Arabidopsis thaliana: one gene and its partners. The protein of the gene in region 2 purifies or fractionates together with the protein of the main gene of each other region. This does not show direct contact. Each region holds a gene or a part of one and is shown on either strand. Other genes may lie near its edges. The genes, in order: AT3G23325, AT1G07170 and AT4G14342.

Region 1 (5,417 bases), on a different chromosome or scaffold from region 2:
AAAGCGGCCATCAATTAAATCCCTCTTTGGTACTTATCTAAAAGACATTTATCACAATCTATTTCAACTCATTGTCTGATATTAGCATATGGTTTTAGCACTAACAAGAATTGTTATAAAAACATTTGGCAGAGGATGAATCAGCCAGTAGCACCACAAGCCACCAAGGAAGCTTTATGAAACTCTTGCCAACACAAATCGAAGTTCCAGAGAAAGAAGACAAATCAAGCTCATCTAGTGAAACCCTATCATCTTCCACCACACGTTTCGACAATGCCACATCCTAAACCAGACTCTTTGCTACACTTTGGTCCCGGTTAACACACCAAAACACGGTTTGAGGTGGCGGATTTACGGTTGGAGATAGTACAGTTTCCATTGTGGCGGTGAAGGCTATTGTGTGAGAAGATTAAGGATTTGTTCAACAGTTTCTACATAGGATAATATTTGGTTGTTCAAAAGGTTTAGTTTGAAGCAAAAGGAAGTAAATAGTCATTTTCAGAATGTGGTTTTATTTATTTGTTTGATTGTTTTGTTTGGGTAAAAATCAAATTTGGTTTGTTTACCACACAGTTCTAAAGCGGACAATGGGAAAAATGTCAAAAAAATCATGAACTTTCAAATTTGGGACGAAAAAAACATGAACTTCCAAAATGCCATTAAAATCGTAAACTTTTGTTTGACTTTTGATAAATAGTCAAGTTTTGTTGACTTTGCCATTTTGAACATGTCGTTAAGTTTTCGTTAACAAAAAGATAACGTGATTAATTTTCTGTTAATTTTTTCTGTTAAAAGCGAAACGACGTCGTTTTGAAATTAAAGAAAAAAACAAAAAACAAACACCAAGTAGAGTTGAACTGGTGACCTTTTAGGTGCTATTGAAGGACTAAAACCATTGAGCCACGTTAACTTTTTAGAAGTATAGTAAACATATACATATATATATATATATACGTAACTAATTAAAAATAACCAACTAAAATAAATCAATAATATAGAAAATTACCTAAAATTTACACAATCCTTCTCATATGAATATAGGATTAATCTATACATGCACATAGAATTTCATTCAACTTCACTTTATATATAATTTTATTTATAATAAAACATATATTTTATAAATTAATTTGATAAATATTTAATAAAAGAAAAATATAAGATCATTATTCCGTCTTCAAATCAATTTTTTTATTCATAATTAGATGGAAAGTATATAAAAAGTTATTTTTTGGTAATATATTTATAGGTGTTATATTTCACAAGTTTGATTTTTATATAATTTAAGAGAATTTTTTTTTAATTCAATACGTTTAATAAAAAAATTTACATTGTTATTTGAGAATATATATTAATGGTAGGTGTATTTAATATTTTTACATGTTTAGTTATTGTTTTTATAGTTCGGTTTTTATTTGGTAGGTGCATTTTTATAATTTACATCATTTTTAATATTTTTATTTGCCATTTTGGTTAATATGGAGGATTTGGAAGAGCCGGAATGATTTAGTCTTCAACAAAAAAGCAATCGCTGTCGCTGATGTGATAAACCAAGCGATAATGGACACGAAAGAATGGCTGGATGTTAAGCATAAAAATGATGACAACGTCAAAGGGGGCCAAACCAAGTCCTCAAGAACGGACAAATGGCAAAAACCAGGAGCAGAATGGGTCAAATGCAATTATGATGTCTCTAACCATGCGGGAAGACAAGACTCAGGCCTCAGATGGATTATTCGAAACTCACAAGGAACCTGTTTGGACTGCGGCTGCGGGAAATTTCAGGGTCGACAAACAATAAAGGAAGCTGAATGCACTGCCCTCATATGGGCAATACAATGCGCTTGGGATTTGGGATATAGGAGAGTAGAATTTGAAGGCGACAACATCACAGTTAATCGCCTTATTCGAAACAAAGAAACTAATCCACGACTTCGATACTATTTGGAATTCATTCAACAATGGAGCAAAGCTTTCACCACTGTGAAGTTCACATTTCGACACCGGGAACAAAACGTTTGTGTTGATGTTCTGGCGAAAAAAGCAGTAGCTAATCATATAAATCATACTCTATATCATTTTTGTCCTAGATTTCTAATGTCGTTTGTAAACAAAGATGCTGAACACGTGAATTAATAAAGTTATTGGAAGGAAAAAAAAAAAAAATAGTTCGGTTTTTAATTAGTTTTGCGTATATATATATATATCAGTTTTCATTAATATCGAAATGTTATCATAGCATATTGGTTGAGCGCTTGTGATAATTTAGGAGGTTCACGAGTTCAATCCATTCTTGGCGCAAATTTTAATATATTTTTATTTTGAAACGACGTCGTTTCGCTTCTAACGGAAAATGTTAACGAAAAGTTAACTCCGTTATTTTGTTGTTAACGGAAATTTAACGACATGCCCAAAATAGTAAAGTCAACGAAACTTAATCATTTTATCAAAAGTCAGACGAAATTTTATAATTTTAGCGGCATTTCGGAAGTTCACGTTTTTTTTATCCCAAATTTAAAAGTTAATGATTTGGTTTGATTGAAATGTCCGGTTCTGGTTTGGTTTTCTTTTGTACCGGTTCTCATAATAATAGCCACGTATTAAAAATTTATTAGTAATGGATTTGGGCCAGACCCATTCTCAAAGCCCAATCAATTTCTCAGTGAAACATATATAAACCTAATTAAAGTGAAGCAGAAGTTGTATTCTTCTTCTTGCGAACTCGCTGAAGTCTGAAAGATGCAGGTTTGTCTCTCTCGATTCGAAACCCTAGTTACTTTTTTTTGTTCTTATCTCTAATTTTATACAATTTCTTGACGATTAAGCTAAGCGTAGCTGAAATCTGGGAACAATTTGCTTTAGTTCTTGTAAAGGTTAGGTTTTTAAGCAGCAGATAGTTATGTAATCTCACTTTTTTGTTTTTGTGCAGGCAAGTGATAGGTTTAACATAAATTCTCAGCTTGAGCATCTTCAAGCTAAGTATGTTGGTACAGGTCATGCAGATTTGAGCAGATTGTAAGTATTTTTCACTTTTTGTTTGGATTTTTCAGGATTCCAAAATTGTGAACTTATTGAAAATTTTGAATGTTTTTGTGTTAGTGAATGGACTGTGAACATTCAGCGTGATAGTTATGCTTCATACATTGGTCACTACCCGATGCTTTCTTACTTTGCAATAGCTGAGAACGAATCTATTGGTCGAGAACGTTACAACTTCATGCAGGTTTGTTTACTATCTTTCTTCTTGCATCATGTCAAGGAATCATATTGAGAATGTTAATGTGTTAGTGTCTTAAGGGAGAGGAACAATTAGGGTTGTTTCAAACAGGGTAAAGTGTTCCTGCTGCTCCCCTCTTTAGCTTGGAGAAGCCAGTAAATATCTTTCTCTTCAAGGAACTTGTGGGCCTCAAGAAAACCTGCTATAATTCTAGTTTTTCAACATTCCTCCTTCTGATATCAGCAACAACTCCTTACCCTTAAGAATGGAGAATGGAACTTCCTCAAAGATATTTACTTGGCCTCTGCAACCGGAAAGGGGAGCAGCATGAAACTCTTTTAACCCTTACCCTGTATTTGTCAAAAACAGATTGTATCATATCGTAAGTTAGCAGGAAACTACCAATCTTGAGGGTTGTTTCAAACTGTTATCTTCTGGTTCTTCTACACTCAAGAGTCAATGACTTTGCATTTTTGCTAATAGCTTTTACTAACTCCAAACTTCTTTGATTTTTTTTTTGCAGAAAATGCTCTTACCTTGCGGCCTTCCTCCAGAAAGAGAAGACGAGTAAGAGCTTGTGTGCATTTGAAATTAAAAAAAACATTCTACTTCTTAGAAGCTTGTGTGCAATCTTCTTTAACTGCTCCACCAATGTAATTGCCGAAAAGGCTTCTTCTTGTTTCTAGTTCATAATGCAGTTGTTGATCATGATCTAAACATTTGTACTTTGTTATAGTCTTGATACAATTGTCAAACTCAAAGTCTTTTTGCTACTCGAACAACTATTGCAAAAGAATTGAATTGAACAAGTCATAAAAAAAAGAGGTTAAAAGTTGGAGTATTTAAATGAATGACGAAAATAAAAATCAAACCTTTATGTTTGCTAATGGTGAATCTCTGAGAAGGAGACAAAGATGAGTTCATCAAAAGCCCTAATCAAAACCCTGATTAAGAATCCAACTCGAATCAAATCCAAATCTCAAGCGAAGCAGCTTCACGCACAATTCATCAGAACTCAATCACTCTCTCATACATCAGCTTCAATCGTAATCTCAATCTACACAAACCTTAAACTTTTGCACGAAGCTTTGCTTCTTTTCAAAACCCTTAAGTCTCCTCCTGTTCTAGCATGGAAGTCAGTAATCAGATGCTTCACCGACCAGTCTCTATTCTCCAAGGCGTTAGCTTCGTTTGTGGAAATGCGAGCTTCTGGGAGATGCCCAGATCACAATGTGTTTCCTTCTGTTTTGAAATCGTGTACGATGATGATGGATTTGAGATTTGGTGAGTCTGTTCATGGGTTTATTGTTAGGCTTGGTATGGATTGTGATTTGTATACTGGTAATGCGCTTATGAATATGTATGCTAAGCTTCTTGGTATGGGTTCTAAGATTAGTGTAGGTAATGTGTTCGATGAAATGCCTCAAAGAACGTCCAATTCTGGAGACGAAGATGTAAAGGCTGAAACTTGCATTATGCCTTTTGGAATAGACAGTGTGAGGAGGGTTTTTGAAGTGATGCCTAGAAAGGATGTTGTGTCGTATAATACTATCATTGCAGGGTATGCACAGAGTGGAATGTATGAAGATGCTTTGAGAATGGTTAGGGAGATGGGAACTACTGACTTAAAGCCTGATTCTTTTACTTTGTCTAGTGTGCTTCCGATATTTTCTGAGTATGTGGATGTTATTAAGGGGAAAGAGATTCATGGGTATGTGATTAGGAAAGGGATTGATAGTGATGTATATATTGGGAGTAGTTTGGTTGATATGTATGCGAAAAGTGCTCGGATTGAAGACTCTGAAAGAGTGTTTTCTCGCTTGTATTGTCGGGATGGTATCTCGTGGAACTCGCTTGTAGCTGGGTATGTACAGAATGGTAGATACAATGAGGCTCTGAGATTGTTCAGGCAAATGGTGACCGCAAAGGTTAAGCCAGGGGCTGTGGCGTTCTCAAGTGTGATTCCTGCTTGTGCTCACCTAGCCACCTTGCACCTTGGGAAACAACTTCACGGATATGTATTAAGGGGTGGCTTTGGCAGTAACATATTCATAGCTAGTGCACTTGTTGATATGTACTCGAAATGTGGGAATATTAAGGCTGCTAGGAAGATTTTTGACAGGATGAATGTACTCGATGAAGTATCATGGACGGCTATTATAATGGGGCATGCGTTACATGGTCATGGGCATGAAGCAGT
Region 2 (5,555 bases):
TCTTTGATCTTTGAATTATTTCAAAATACAGAAACCTTTCTTCCATTAATTCCAAAAGAAAAAAAATGCCGCCGCAACTAAATTATATATGTACTTTGTTTGTTGTTTCTCTGGCCAAGCTTTGACCTTCCGCGAACGTGAAGTGCTATTTGAACGGTCCACCACTGCTTCCATATCCTCTTAGGGCAACTAATTTCACCTTTTATATATGTGTGGGTGAATAAATTACTAGAAATGTCCAAAACATAAGATATTATTTGAAGATTTTTAGGACCCATACCATATTTTCCAATTTGCATGTCTAGGAGAATCCACTTGGAAAACAACTTAAGAAAATGACATTGCACTATGTACTTAATACCGTACTAAACTTTCAGACTTTTCAATATTTTATAGGATTAAGGTAATGGCTAAGAGCCTAAGATATTTATGAACTAACGTAGTTAAGAAATACGCGTCCATATAAACGTAAAAGTAAAAAACTTTCAAAACATGAATTTTATGAACTCTTGAAACAAACCAGTACTAGCCTACACATTTAAGTCGATCCACATTATCTCATAAAAGAGTAGTAATATATAATGTATTGAGTGGTAAAGTACTCACATACAACTTACAAGCCTTAACGAGTTTTTACATAGAAGACCTATAAGGCTATAAGGATTATCAATAGAGAGTAAAGACAGTCTAAGATGGTATACACAAGTATCATAACAGCTCAAATGACTAAATGAAGTTAAAAACGAATAAAAGAATATGTGAATCATTCACAGTGAATGCTTAGAAAACAATAAAAAATAAAATGTAAGAAATTAAGAATGACTTCAGACTCTAACGTTGTTATTCTGTCTCTACATTTCTCCTATGGTCAGAAGAGGTGGCACAACTGAATCAACATCACACTAATATCGTCCAAGGAGCCTCGTGATACAGAGAGGTCAACGAGCTTCTTGCAAGCCAGCAATGGCTTCCGTTTCTGATCGGTCCCTTTGCAAAATGGTCGAGCTATGTCTACTGCCTCCTGATTACTAACCTTGTCCCATAGACCATCTGATGCTAAGATCAAGAACTCGTGTTGGGGATTGATTCGGAGAATATTTATCTCTGGTTCAGATATTATCCATTGTTTGAGATGAGCATCTCCTATTCCTCTAGATACCGCTAATGATCCTTGAATTCTCCAAACACTATTGAATGTATCCACATAACCGCCCTGCAGGATTATCGTAATCAGAACCATGTAATCATGATAAAACCTAACAGTAACTTCTTTTGCAAGAATTCTTACCGAGCTCTCAATTCTGTTTCGTTCATCATCTCTGGAAGGGCGGTGGTCAGAAGTCAAGGCCTCCGCGAATCCTCCAACGCTCAAAACAGCACGGCAGTCACCAGCATTGGCCACCACAAGATTTCCGTCGCTGATCAGAGCCGTGACACAGCACGAGCCGCCCTTAACGTTTTTTTCCTTGAGAAACTCAGAATCAGTCGCTAGATAACCACGTTTTACAGCTTCTTCAATCTTTGACTCGTTCCTCCCACCAACTATCTCGCCAAGAATGTTACTACACAAGTTCTTAGCCGCAAACTCAGCCGCTGTTGGTCCTCCGTGACCATCATAGACTCCGAATATTGCCTGCGGTTATAAAAAAGCTAAAAATGTTAAATCCCCATTTTGTAAGTCACTGGATCTATCTTTTTTTTTTTTCTTGAACACTAGTCATTGGTTCTATCTAATCAAGAACTACTCATACAATTTGTCATATATATGATTCACTGAATTTTCTTATAATCTTTAGAACTTCTAATTTGATTCATTGAGTCAACAACACAGCATAAATAAATTTTAAGTTATATATTACCCATCTTCAAATCGCAATTCATACTAATTAAGCAATAATCAGTAAATAAACTCGAAATTACGGAAGAAAATTGAAATTACCTGTTTGGGATCTCCTTGAAGATTAGTGATGGCAGAGAAACGATCCTCCATAGCTTCTCTTTTACCTCTCTTGCAATAAACAGAGTAACCATCACCTTCCCTCTCCACTGCTCTACTCTCCTCCCTCGGCGTATCTGCATTCGATATAGGAGCTGCAATACCAACCGGAGCCACCGGTATATCAAGCGTCGTCGGTCGTTTCCTCTTCAGAATGCTTCCCGGACCAGAGTCCGATCCAAACCCTAGTTTAGCCGGCGGTTTCAGGAGACGGAGGCAGAACGGAGATGTGGGAGACGCGGCGGAAGGAGAAGTAGAAGAAACGGGAGGATTGAGATGGGAAAGAGACAGGGTTAGGGTTTCATGTGCCGGAGAAGTGTTCAACGGTTTGTTGCAGAAAAGAGACGAAGACGGAGAGAACACCGGTGAGTTGCAAACGGCAACTGAAGACGACATCGTTTCGTAGAAAACTTAAAAGTTTCCTTTTTCTGATGATTGATTTGATTGTTAGTCTTCTAGACGTTTGTGTTTCTCTGTTTAGTGTCAACGAGAGAGAAGAAAGAGGCTTGAATATATAATATAAGACCTGGACAAGTCTTTCTCTGTTTCTCTGTGGCCGTTGCTTCTTCTTCTTCTTCCAGGTCAAACGTTACCACTCTCATCTTTCTCTTTGACTTTTTCAAATCATGAATCCACCGCCACAGTCCATTTTTTCTGCTTTTTCTTTGTCAACTGCGATTTTCCAGAAATTAAATGACTTTGGGAAGATAAAAAGTCAAATAAGGCCGAAATAGGAAAGAAATCAACACCTAAAATTAAAAAGCCCATCAGGAAAGCCTTTAATGAGATAGCCCATATTAAGTCGGACCTACATGGATCTTTAGAAACCCGACCCGGGTCGTTTTATTTGCAGAGCCATCTCTTGTTCGGATCGGCGGCTCGGAGATCAGGGATCGCTAGTTCAGACACCTTCTCTTCTTCTTCGTTCTCCTTCGAGGTTAGTTTCGATAATATTTTCCTTTGTTGTTTTTTAACTTTGATTTATGCGTGATAGATGTTACTGATTCAGAAATTTCGTTCCGTGTTCATGTTTCTCTGAATTCTTAGGGTTTAGCGTTGTCTATGCTTATTCTTTTGCGCCGCTCCGTTTTGGGCTCGAACAGCTTTCTCTTGTTTATCTGTGTTCGATTCAGCGAATTGATGGTTTCCATTGTTGCTTCGTTTCTTGTTCACTTTTCAGTGAACTTCAAGAATTTACCGTCGTTCCATTGATTTAGCTAGAATTGGATATAGAAAAGTTTCAGCTTGAGTGGAACTGTAAGTAGAATAACTGCTGCCTGATAGGTGTTTGTTGAAATGCCTCTGAGAAACAAAAATTGTGTTTTCTTTACTTTGTTAACCAATGTTATTTGCAGGTCAAAATCTTCTTAATCGAGGAAGAGCAAGATCTTCTTTAAGCAGTCATGGCCAAGCATCATCCTGATTTGATCATGTGCCGGAAACAACCTGGCATTGCTATTGGGCGACTGTGCGAGAAGTGTGATGGAAAATGCGTCATATGTGATTCCTATGTCCGCCCGTGTACTCTGGTTAGGATTTGCGATGAATGCAACTATGGTTCGTTCCAAGGGCGGTGTGTCATATGCGGAGGAGTTGGAATCTCGGATGCTTACTACTGCAAAGAGTGTACACAACAGGAGAAAGATAGAGATGGTTGTCCTAAGATAGTCAATCTTGGCAGTGCCAAAACTGATCTGTTCTATGAACGTAAGAAATATGGATTCAAAAAACGATAGTAGTTTGTTGTTACTTGAGCTATTGATCTTTTATTTATTGATGCTAGGAAAGTGTCTGTACTTGTCTTGTTTGTGTTAAGGAAATTTTATCCGGTGAAGTAATTTAAGACATGGGTTCAAACTAAGGATTATGGTTTGTTGATTTAGTCAGCCTTATTACCATTGCTATGGTTGGTTACTGTTTCTTAAGTGGTTGTCAATTATGTGATTGTTAGCGTTTGGTTGTCCATAAATATGATTCAGTTGGTGGATTAGGCCTCGGAAGTTTTCTGGAGAAACACCGTCCCTCTGTGTTTGCCAATGAATTATCTGACTCACAAAATTAACGTAATCTTGTGTATAAATCAACTTCATTCTTTTAAGTTTTAACAGCATTACCACTTGTGAATTCAGCTATGATTGAATACATAGCTGGGCGATAACTATAATTTTCTAGATAAATGTCAACTTAAAACTTTAAAGAATACGCAATAACTCTGACTCTCTAACGTCGACAAAAAGGTTATCATCCATTACATAAAAAACCCCACATGATCGTCAGAATTCAGAAATATTCGTTTTCAAAGTAAGGAAACCCCAAAATCCCTTTTTTGGGCCAAAAATATAGACGTTGACTTTTTATATCGGACGGTGCCTGTAAGTCAACTGCCCATGCATGTTCGCTTCGTTTATGTGTTAACTGTTAACTTAACAGTGTGGAATCCACAATTTGTCTGCAATAGTCAACTCCTATCTCCAATAAGACAATGACACGTGTTAAACATCAGCTACTTTATTTCGAAACAGATCCTGTATTTCTAGCCGAATTAATTCAATCATAATCTAAATAATTGCTATTTACGAGTCAAAAAATATTTAGACGAAAATTTGATATTGTAGCTAGCCATTAAGAAAAACGTTAATTTGTAAGAAACGTTTACGCTGATGATTTATTCAGGGAAGACCACTGAAACAATGAAACACAAGATTTATATAGTGATGTAAAATGTTGTAATAGACAGACTTTTAATATCAAAATATTTCAAACCACATGCCTTTGCAGGTATCTACACCAATCTTTAATCAAAATGTTTTAAATTTTGTTGTGCCCTAATTCCTTATAAATGTATTTTGCTCGAATTTGGGTTAGACATTCAAAATGATATGTTTGTAGGAATGCTTCCATGTCAATAAATTGCACTATTCCGGTTATGTAGCACTGTCCGAAATATATATATTAAAGTAGTTTGAAAAATAAGGTTAATTAATCTTTATTATTAATGAATACATTTCCATTTCACGTTTATAAAAGGAGAGGGTTACGAGAGATATAGTTGAATAGAGAAGAGAAAGAGGAAGAGAAAAAGGGGAAAGAGAAGAGAAGATGGTTTTTTGTTATGCAATTCGGCTGTGTTTATGCATTTTCTTGGCACTTTCAATCGTCTCTTCGGCTCGACTAACTTTTTCATTTTCAGGTAAGAGAAATCGAGCTCATCATCCTATCTACATACAGAAAAGATCAAATTTTGGAGTTGTATATAAACTCCTCATTCGAATTTTGAAATCCATAATAGTATATCGTTGGATTAATTACTTTCGTAATTATCTAAGTTTTAGCTTCGTAATATATGTTAAACCTGCATGCATGACAGAAAACGAAAAGATGATGGTGAGGGGTAGATCATTGATGGTGAGCACCAACGACTACGGCGAGCCATCGGCCAACGCCAAACACAATCCACCTGGAAGGCGTCGTGGAGGAGGTCGGAGAGGGTAAATAAATAAAAAGATAAAAATAAAAAAATATGGTTTTGGATACATTTAAGATCTTTAATTTTACTCAT
Region 3 (6,243 bases), on a different chromosome or scaffold from region 2:
ATGTCTCTCTTGTATAAATACTATACTTTGTGAATCAATAAAATCAAGTTAGTGCAATACCTAAGTCTACATACATCACCCAATTTACATTGATTTATTTAAGTTTTTTTTTACTCATTTACTAATCGTACCAATATGTTGATGAACATTTTTGGATTTAAACTGTCAACAAATCGTGTACTAGCGCAATATTATCATATTATCACTTTGTTCTATCTTATGATCTCTCGCTTGGACAGATTCTGGAAGTGCATGTAAAGGACCTGATTTTATAAAAGTTCAAACAATTTAAAAAAGAAAGCATCCATTTACTTGTGGATCTCCCGAACGCTTGGTAACGTCGATACATGGAACACTTGTTGATGAGTCTTGAGAAATCAAGCTCATACTTAATAACCAGTTTACATGTCGTTAGTAGATCTTCTCGATGAACTCATGAACACAGTGTGAAATTCATGAGTTTCTTCTATATGGTAATTTAGTAGGATAGCTAATGTTCTTCTATGCTATATTAAGCATTTTGTTTTTACTTTCATTTTCAATATGAAAATTAACATGTGTCTCTAAAGGTAAACGTGTTAGGACCATTCATCTTGAGTCAAGTGATATTTCACATGCATGGGAAACAAAACTTATTGATAATTGTATACAATGACTAAAGTTTTATAATGTTTATGAAACTTTCGGATTGTATACAATGACTAAAGTTTTATAATGTTTATGAAACTTTCGGTATTGTTAAAGTATTATGATGGTCAATGAAACTAGGCAAAAATAAGTCAAAGAGAATAAGAAAAATTATCCATAAGTAAGCAAGCTTATAATAGATGCGTATGATTATATCAACTATAGTGTTTATAGGCTTCCATCGTTGACGATATTACATTATTTATAGTTTAGATTTTAGAATACGTTTGATGAAATGGCTTTTGGTTTAAGTGGCCTAAGCTTTTTGCTTTTATTTGTCCATTTGTCACACCCGTTGTTTTCTTGTCGTTTGGACATCCCACGGTAAGAATTTATGTCGGGAACTTTTAACAAATCAAACTAGGCATGCAATAACGGTTATGTCGGATTATTCGGGTTTTTGGATAGTTCAAAAATTGAAAATTTTGATGAATTTGATTAAAACACGAAACCGTGTAAAACCAACCTAAAAATCCAAGGTGTTTTGTTTTTTACATTCAAGAAAAGCAAACTTACACAGACAAAGTTGTTTTTTAACAGTCATATAAATCTCTACCAGAAGATCAAATTGGACAGTTTTTAAAACTCCAAACCAACATTCCATCACACGAGTTCTTGATAACTTGAAAGACAAATCGAATCCTCATGTCACCTATTCCTCTTCTCTTTCCGGAGGAAGGCCGCAGGGTAATAGCATTTTCTGGAAATCAAAAGACATCTCAAGTTATTCCAAAACATCATCACATCTACAAAGTGTAACCAATTTTTTGAGCAAAGAACACCCCACAAATATTCATATTTTTCTATGCTTTTCGATTAACCCTCAAGAAGACCATATATTCAGATATAAGAGATCGCTATCACAAGATTATTCAACCATGTAAGAGACCTGTTTCATGAAAAAACTGAAAGCCAAGGCGAGCTCACAACTGTTTGTGAAAGGAACTAAGCTTCCATTAATTTGAGAATTGAGGACAAATGAAAACATTTGAGTGAGAGACCACACCATAACCTAATGCTCTATAATCTAATTGTAACCTACACAACTGGAGGCTGCTGAATGGTCAGTGAAATGTGAAGTCCATAGTCTAGGAAATCAACATATCACGACAAATAGAGAAATACGCCATTGACAAGACCTAAACTAAAACCATACAACAAATCAATGAATCTGAAAAGGAAAAGGAATGAGATATACCACAAGATAACCACGAAATGATACATTCCTAATCGACTACACATAGAATCATAATCCAAACCTTGAACTGTAGATTTGTCACTAGATAAAGGATGAGGCAAAAGGAAAGTACAGAATTTTACTGATAAGATTCCTATTAACACAGAGAATAGGAAGCAAACCTACATGAAATTCTAACCTATCACACATTTCAACCATGCAAGAGGCGAATAAACCGAAACCAACCGAGTTGAGTAAGACCATGACCCAACGCTCTCTAATATAATTGTATCCTACAGAACTAGAGGCTGCTGAAATAGTCAGTCAAAACTGAAGTCCATGGTCTAAGAAATCAAAATATCACGACGAATAGACAAATACGACATTTAACAGTAAACTAAAAACCATACAACAAAGCAATAAATCTGGAAGGCAACATAAGTTACATAACCATATGATACGCACCTAATCAAATAAACATAGAATCATAATCCAAATCTTGAACTGTAGATTTGTCACTAGAGAAAGTAATATGCAAAAGACATGAAAGGAGGCAAACCTGCATGAAATTGTAGCGTTCTCGTCCAATAGACTCGTTCTCAGCAATAGCAAAGTATGAAAGCATAGGGTAGTGACCAATGTATGAAGCATAACTATCACGCTGAATGTTCACAGCCCACTCACTGTACCATTTAAACCAATTCCACAAATTAGTAGCCAATAAAAACAATGCATATAAAAATTTGAACACTAAAATCAAAAGAAACTCACAATCTACTCAAATCAGCATGACCGGTTCCAACATATTTAGCTTGAAGATGCTCAAGCTGAGAATTGATGTTAAACCTATCACTTGCCTGCAAAAGAAAAAAACCCAAACCAAAAGATGTTAAATTTAAAGCAAATTGTTCCCGATTTCATCTATATATGCTTTATAAGAAACAAATCGACCTAATTTCGTCTAAGCCAATTCTCTTCGACATAGATAAATTAAACAGACAGAGAATCAAAGGTAGAAGAAGCTAATTAGGTTATTTCTTCTTCCAATTTACCAACAAAAGCTAGGGTTTCGGATCGAGAACATACCTGCATCTTTTTCAGAGTTTCGCAGCAACTAGAAGAAGAAGAAGAAGAAGAAGAAGAAGAAGAAGAAGAAGAAGAAGATCTAAACCCTATCTTTCTTCAAGTCCTTTATCTGCTAATTGTTTTCGGTTAATATTTAAATCCGAAATAACCGACCGGTTCGTTCGGTGTACCCGAAGTAGTAGATCATAAAATGAAAACGTGGTCGTTTCACATAATAAAGAAGTTAAGGCAAGAAGCTTGGAATTTGGCTAACAATTGTGGATTCTTTAATCATTATCAATCTACAGAATACAAACAAAAGTGGCTGTAGTTTAGTGGTTAGAATCCCACGTTGTGGCCGTGGGGACCTGGGCTCGAATCCCAGCAGCCACACTTAGTCTTTTTTCTTTTTTATACTATTTTGACATTTGAAGAAGGTCTCTTAAGGGCCTACGAATACTCATAGAGGTACATTTGTTCTCTACTTCTTTTGTATGCACTTTTTAGTCTTCAGTCTTCACACGCAATTGGTTCCAAAGGCCTACATATAGTGTAGACTGTAGACTTTTAGCACCAAATCTGAGGTGCCATTAAGCCATCTGTTTCACTCTTGAGTGTACTCAATTAAACACATTCAGTGAGAACAGTTTTTCAGATTGGCGCTTTTTCTAATCTAATAAATAGTAAATACTTTTGCTTATAGCATTAGAGGGTGAAGATTTCATCTTGAGGTTTAGTAGTACAACCAAGTTTTGATTAACCAAAAAAAAAAAAATCAAATACCAAAGCTCACCTTCTCTCCCTGTGAAAATAAATAAACAAGCCAATTCCGAAAAGAATATTTACTTTTTCACTTTTCTATGTTGAAAACAATTAAACAAATCCATCTTTCTCCTCTGGGAGAGCCTTCGCTTCCACTGGAGAGACTGTACTTTGTTGAAAAACCCCTGCTAACTCCAACTTTTAACAGTCGTTTAGAGAAAGCAAAAGGCTTTCAACGAAATCAACAACACACATGTTAATATAACAAGAGTCTTCTGGTTCAGGCTGTGCAATGTGTCAAATGAAATTCACCCGGATGAGCTCGACTTACTACCTTCTTTCTCTGGATCTTCAATCTGCGTCGGTAGTAGATTCAAAAAGCTTCCTTGGTGGGTTGTTGTCCCACCAGATGTTTCGTCTTCTGTTAATTTAGTTTCCACAGTTTGGTTAGAGAGAATCAAACATGGATCGTAATCATCTTGATTTTACAAATAGCATACAAACAGATGATTTACCAAAGAGAGATTTAATAGACGGCCTTTTTGGCTTATTGCTCTTCTTCTTCAACTCAGCTGCACAATAAAACAAATTACAAATGCAGCAAACATGCGATGATAATCACAAGGTAATCTAGTATTGTTGCTTCTTCCTCAGCAACGGAAGGGGGGTTAAGTGAATTACCTATCCCTGGTATTTGGTCATCATTTACGATTTCTACGTTCTTGTAAGTATAACCAACAAAGTTAATGTCTTTGGATGAGAGCATCTGGAGAAGAAAAAAAGAAAGCCAGCGTCATGTTATGAAATTCACAAGAATCCTTTTGGTTCATGACATAAATTCTATTGACAGAACAGGTTCTAAGTTATATCATGTTGGTCCAAAAAGATAAGTGATTCATCTAACACACGTCAACATGCAGAACTGGCAGATTAACAACATAATTCTGTTAGTAGCATCCCAATCAGCTCCAAATTCTAAATTACCATAAGAAAATTTGAACCTAAAAGAGTGAATCACGTTTTTGTGAATATAGTACAAAGATAGAAACGCCTGTGACAGAAACTGAGCCAATTTCATCATTCTGAGCTCTTTGTTGCATGTAATATTTTAAGCTACGTCTGTAGTATCATCAAAGAACAACATATCTCAAGGAACCCACTTATAGATAAATTTTGAAGTATGATCACTCTTCTATTAGATAAAAAAAAAAAGCTTGATGGTACATAATGCCAAAAAGTCAGTGCTTATGCTGTACCTTTCTCCATGGACCTGACTTGGCTGACTTTGGAACTTGCTTGTCAGTCTGTTCCAGAAGGAATCAAAGAAGAGTATACATTATTTTCCTTATCAGGAGCATAAAAATCATCTGTGATACCAATATTTCAGTATATACATCATGCCACATCATTTGGTGGCATATATTGCACCAATATTTCACTATAGACATCATTAGCTGATAGTATCAGTGTGTTACCTCTTCAAATTTCTCAAAATTTTGGGTGTCCAACTCATCATTAACTTGGGGAATAAAGGCAGCTTTCATTTGATACAATTTTCCCCATTCTGTGCCTCTAAACCAAGGGTGACCCTGAAAGAAACCAGTCAAATCGTTTTTAAGAATTGCACACAATGATCTTACATAAGGGAACTTTGAATCTCAAAGTTGAACAACGCATACAACACCTTAATTTCATCTGCTCCTTTTGTTCCAAGCCTTTGTTCAACATTGCATAAAAGCCTACAAATAAGATCCTTGGCTTCTGGTGATAGTCTAACCTCATCTGGGAATTTCAAGTAATTTCTCCAATTTACTATCTGCATAAGGGGGAAGATAATGAATCGAGAAGAGGTAAGTTTCCACATTAGAATTACCAAAGAGATACAAAAAGACTAAAATTAAATGTAAGACTTGAAATCGCCAGTCTGCCTTCAATATTAAAATGAAAGATTCAAAAAGGAATGGATTAATTACCTTCCTACAAGTTGTCATTGGGTCATCTGAATAAAAGGGCGGAAACCCCACAAGCATTTCATACATAATGGCGCCAAGAGACCACCTAAATCTCAAGATTATTCACCCATATTATTTATTTACACCAAAGAAATCAAAGACCACAAATAGGAATAGGTTGGCTTCACCTACCAATCACATTCCATTCCATATCCTTTTTTCAACAGAACTTCTGGGGCAATATAGTCAGGAGTGCCAACTGTGGAATAAGCCTGAAAGTAATGACCTTAACCTAGTAAGTCATATCTAACATAGATGTCTATATCAATGGAGAGAATTTGCTTTCAATAACGAAATATACTGGATACTGTGGACTACTCCACATCTCTGGAAGAAAAGATGAGGAATAAGTGAAACTTACAAGCATCCTTCTATTTCTCTGCCAGTTTAGTAATTGCTCTTGTTGGGTGCGTCTTGTCGCCACAGGGCGACCATCACTTTGTAAAGCCCCACTAACGTTTCTTGCAACTGTAAAGTCTTTCTCTTGAAGATTACTACAGTCTAATGGTTTACATAATCCAAAATCTGACAATTTCATGT

What was found.
Region 1: the proteins of AT1G07170 (region 2) and AT3G23325 fractionate together in Arabidopsis thaliana (co-fractionation; one large-scale study listed by BioGRID). This does not show direct contact.
Region 3: the proteins of AT1G07170 (region 2) and AT4G14342 fractionate together in Arabidopsis thaliana (co-fractionation; one large-scale study listed by BioGRID). This does not show direct contact.

Annotation. Positions count from the first base shown.
Region 1 is NC_003074.8:8,343,069-8,348,485, forward strand, and holds AT3G23325 (Splicing factor 3B subunit 5/RDS3 complex subunit 10), read left to right. Parts: upstream 1-2,701; 5' UTR 2,702-2,739; coding exon 2,740-2,745; intron 2,746-2,929; coding exon 2,930-3,015; intron 3,016-3,099; coding exon 3,100-3,223; intron 3,224-3,298; exon of another isoform or gene 3,299-3,588; intron 3,589-3,740; coding exon 3,741-3,788; 3' UTR 3,789-4,074; downstream 4,075-5,417. Other genes in the region: AT3G23310 (AGC (cAMP-dependent, cGMP-dependent and protein kinase C) kinase family protein), read left to right, coding at 1-29, 133-287; AT3G23320 (Polynucleotidyl transferase, ribonuclease H-like superfamily protein), read left to right, coding at 1,561-2,136; AT3G23330 (Tetratricopeptide repeat (TPR)-like superfamily protein), read left to right, coding at 4,132-5,417.
Region 2 is NC_003070.9:2,197,287-2,202,841, forward strand, and holds AT1G07170 (PHF5-like protein), read left to right. Parts: upstream 1-2,710; 5' UTR 2,711-2,933; exon of another isoform or gene 2,934-3,351; 5' UTR 3,352-3,399; coding exon 3,400-3,732; 3' UTR 3,733-3,986; downstream 3,987-5,555. Other genes in the region: AT1G07160 (Protein phosphatase 2C family protein), read right to left, coding at 869-1,213, 1,289-1,633, 1,940-2,392; AT1G07175 (alternative NAD(P)H dehydrogenase), read left to right, coding at 5,096-5,186, 5,364-5,484.
Region 3 is NC_003075.7:8,252,450-8,258,692, forward strand, and holds AT4G14342 (Splicing factor 3B subunit 5/RDS3 complex subunit 10), read right to left. Parts: upstream 3,156-6,243; 5' UTR 2,957-3,155; coding exon 2,951-2,956; intron 2,722-2,950; coding exon 2,636-2,721; intron 2,548-2,635; coding exon 2,334-2,547; 3' UTR 2,051-2,333; intron 1,388-2,050; coding exon of another isoform or gene 1,340-1,387; 3' UTR 1,087-1,339; downstream 1-1,086. Other genes in the region: AT4G14350 (AGC (cAMP-dependent, cGMP-dependent and protein kinase C) kinase family protein), read right to left, coding at 4,000-4,112, 4,207-4,263, 4,373-4,457, 4,948-4,995, 5,167-5,280, 5,376-5,507, 5,665-5,749, 5,836-5,915 and 1 more.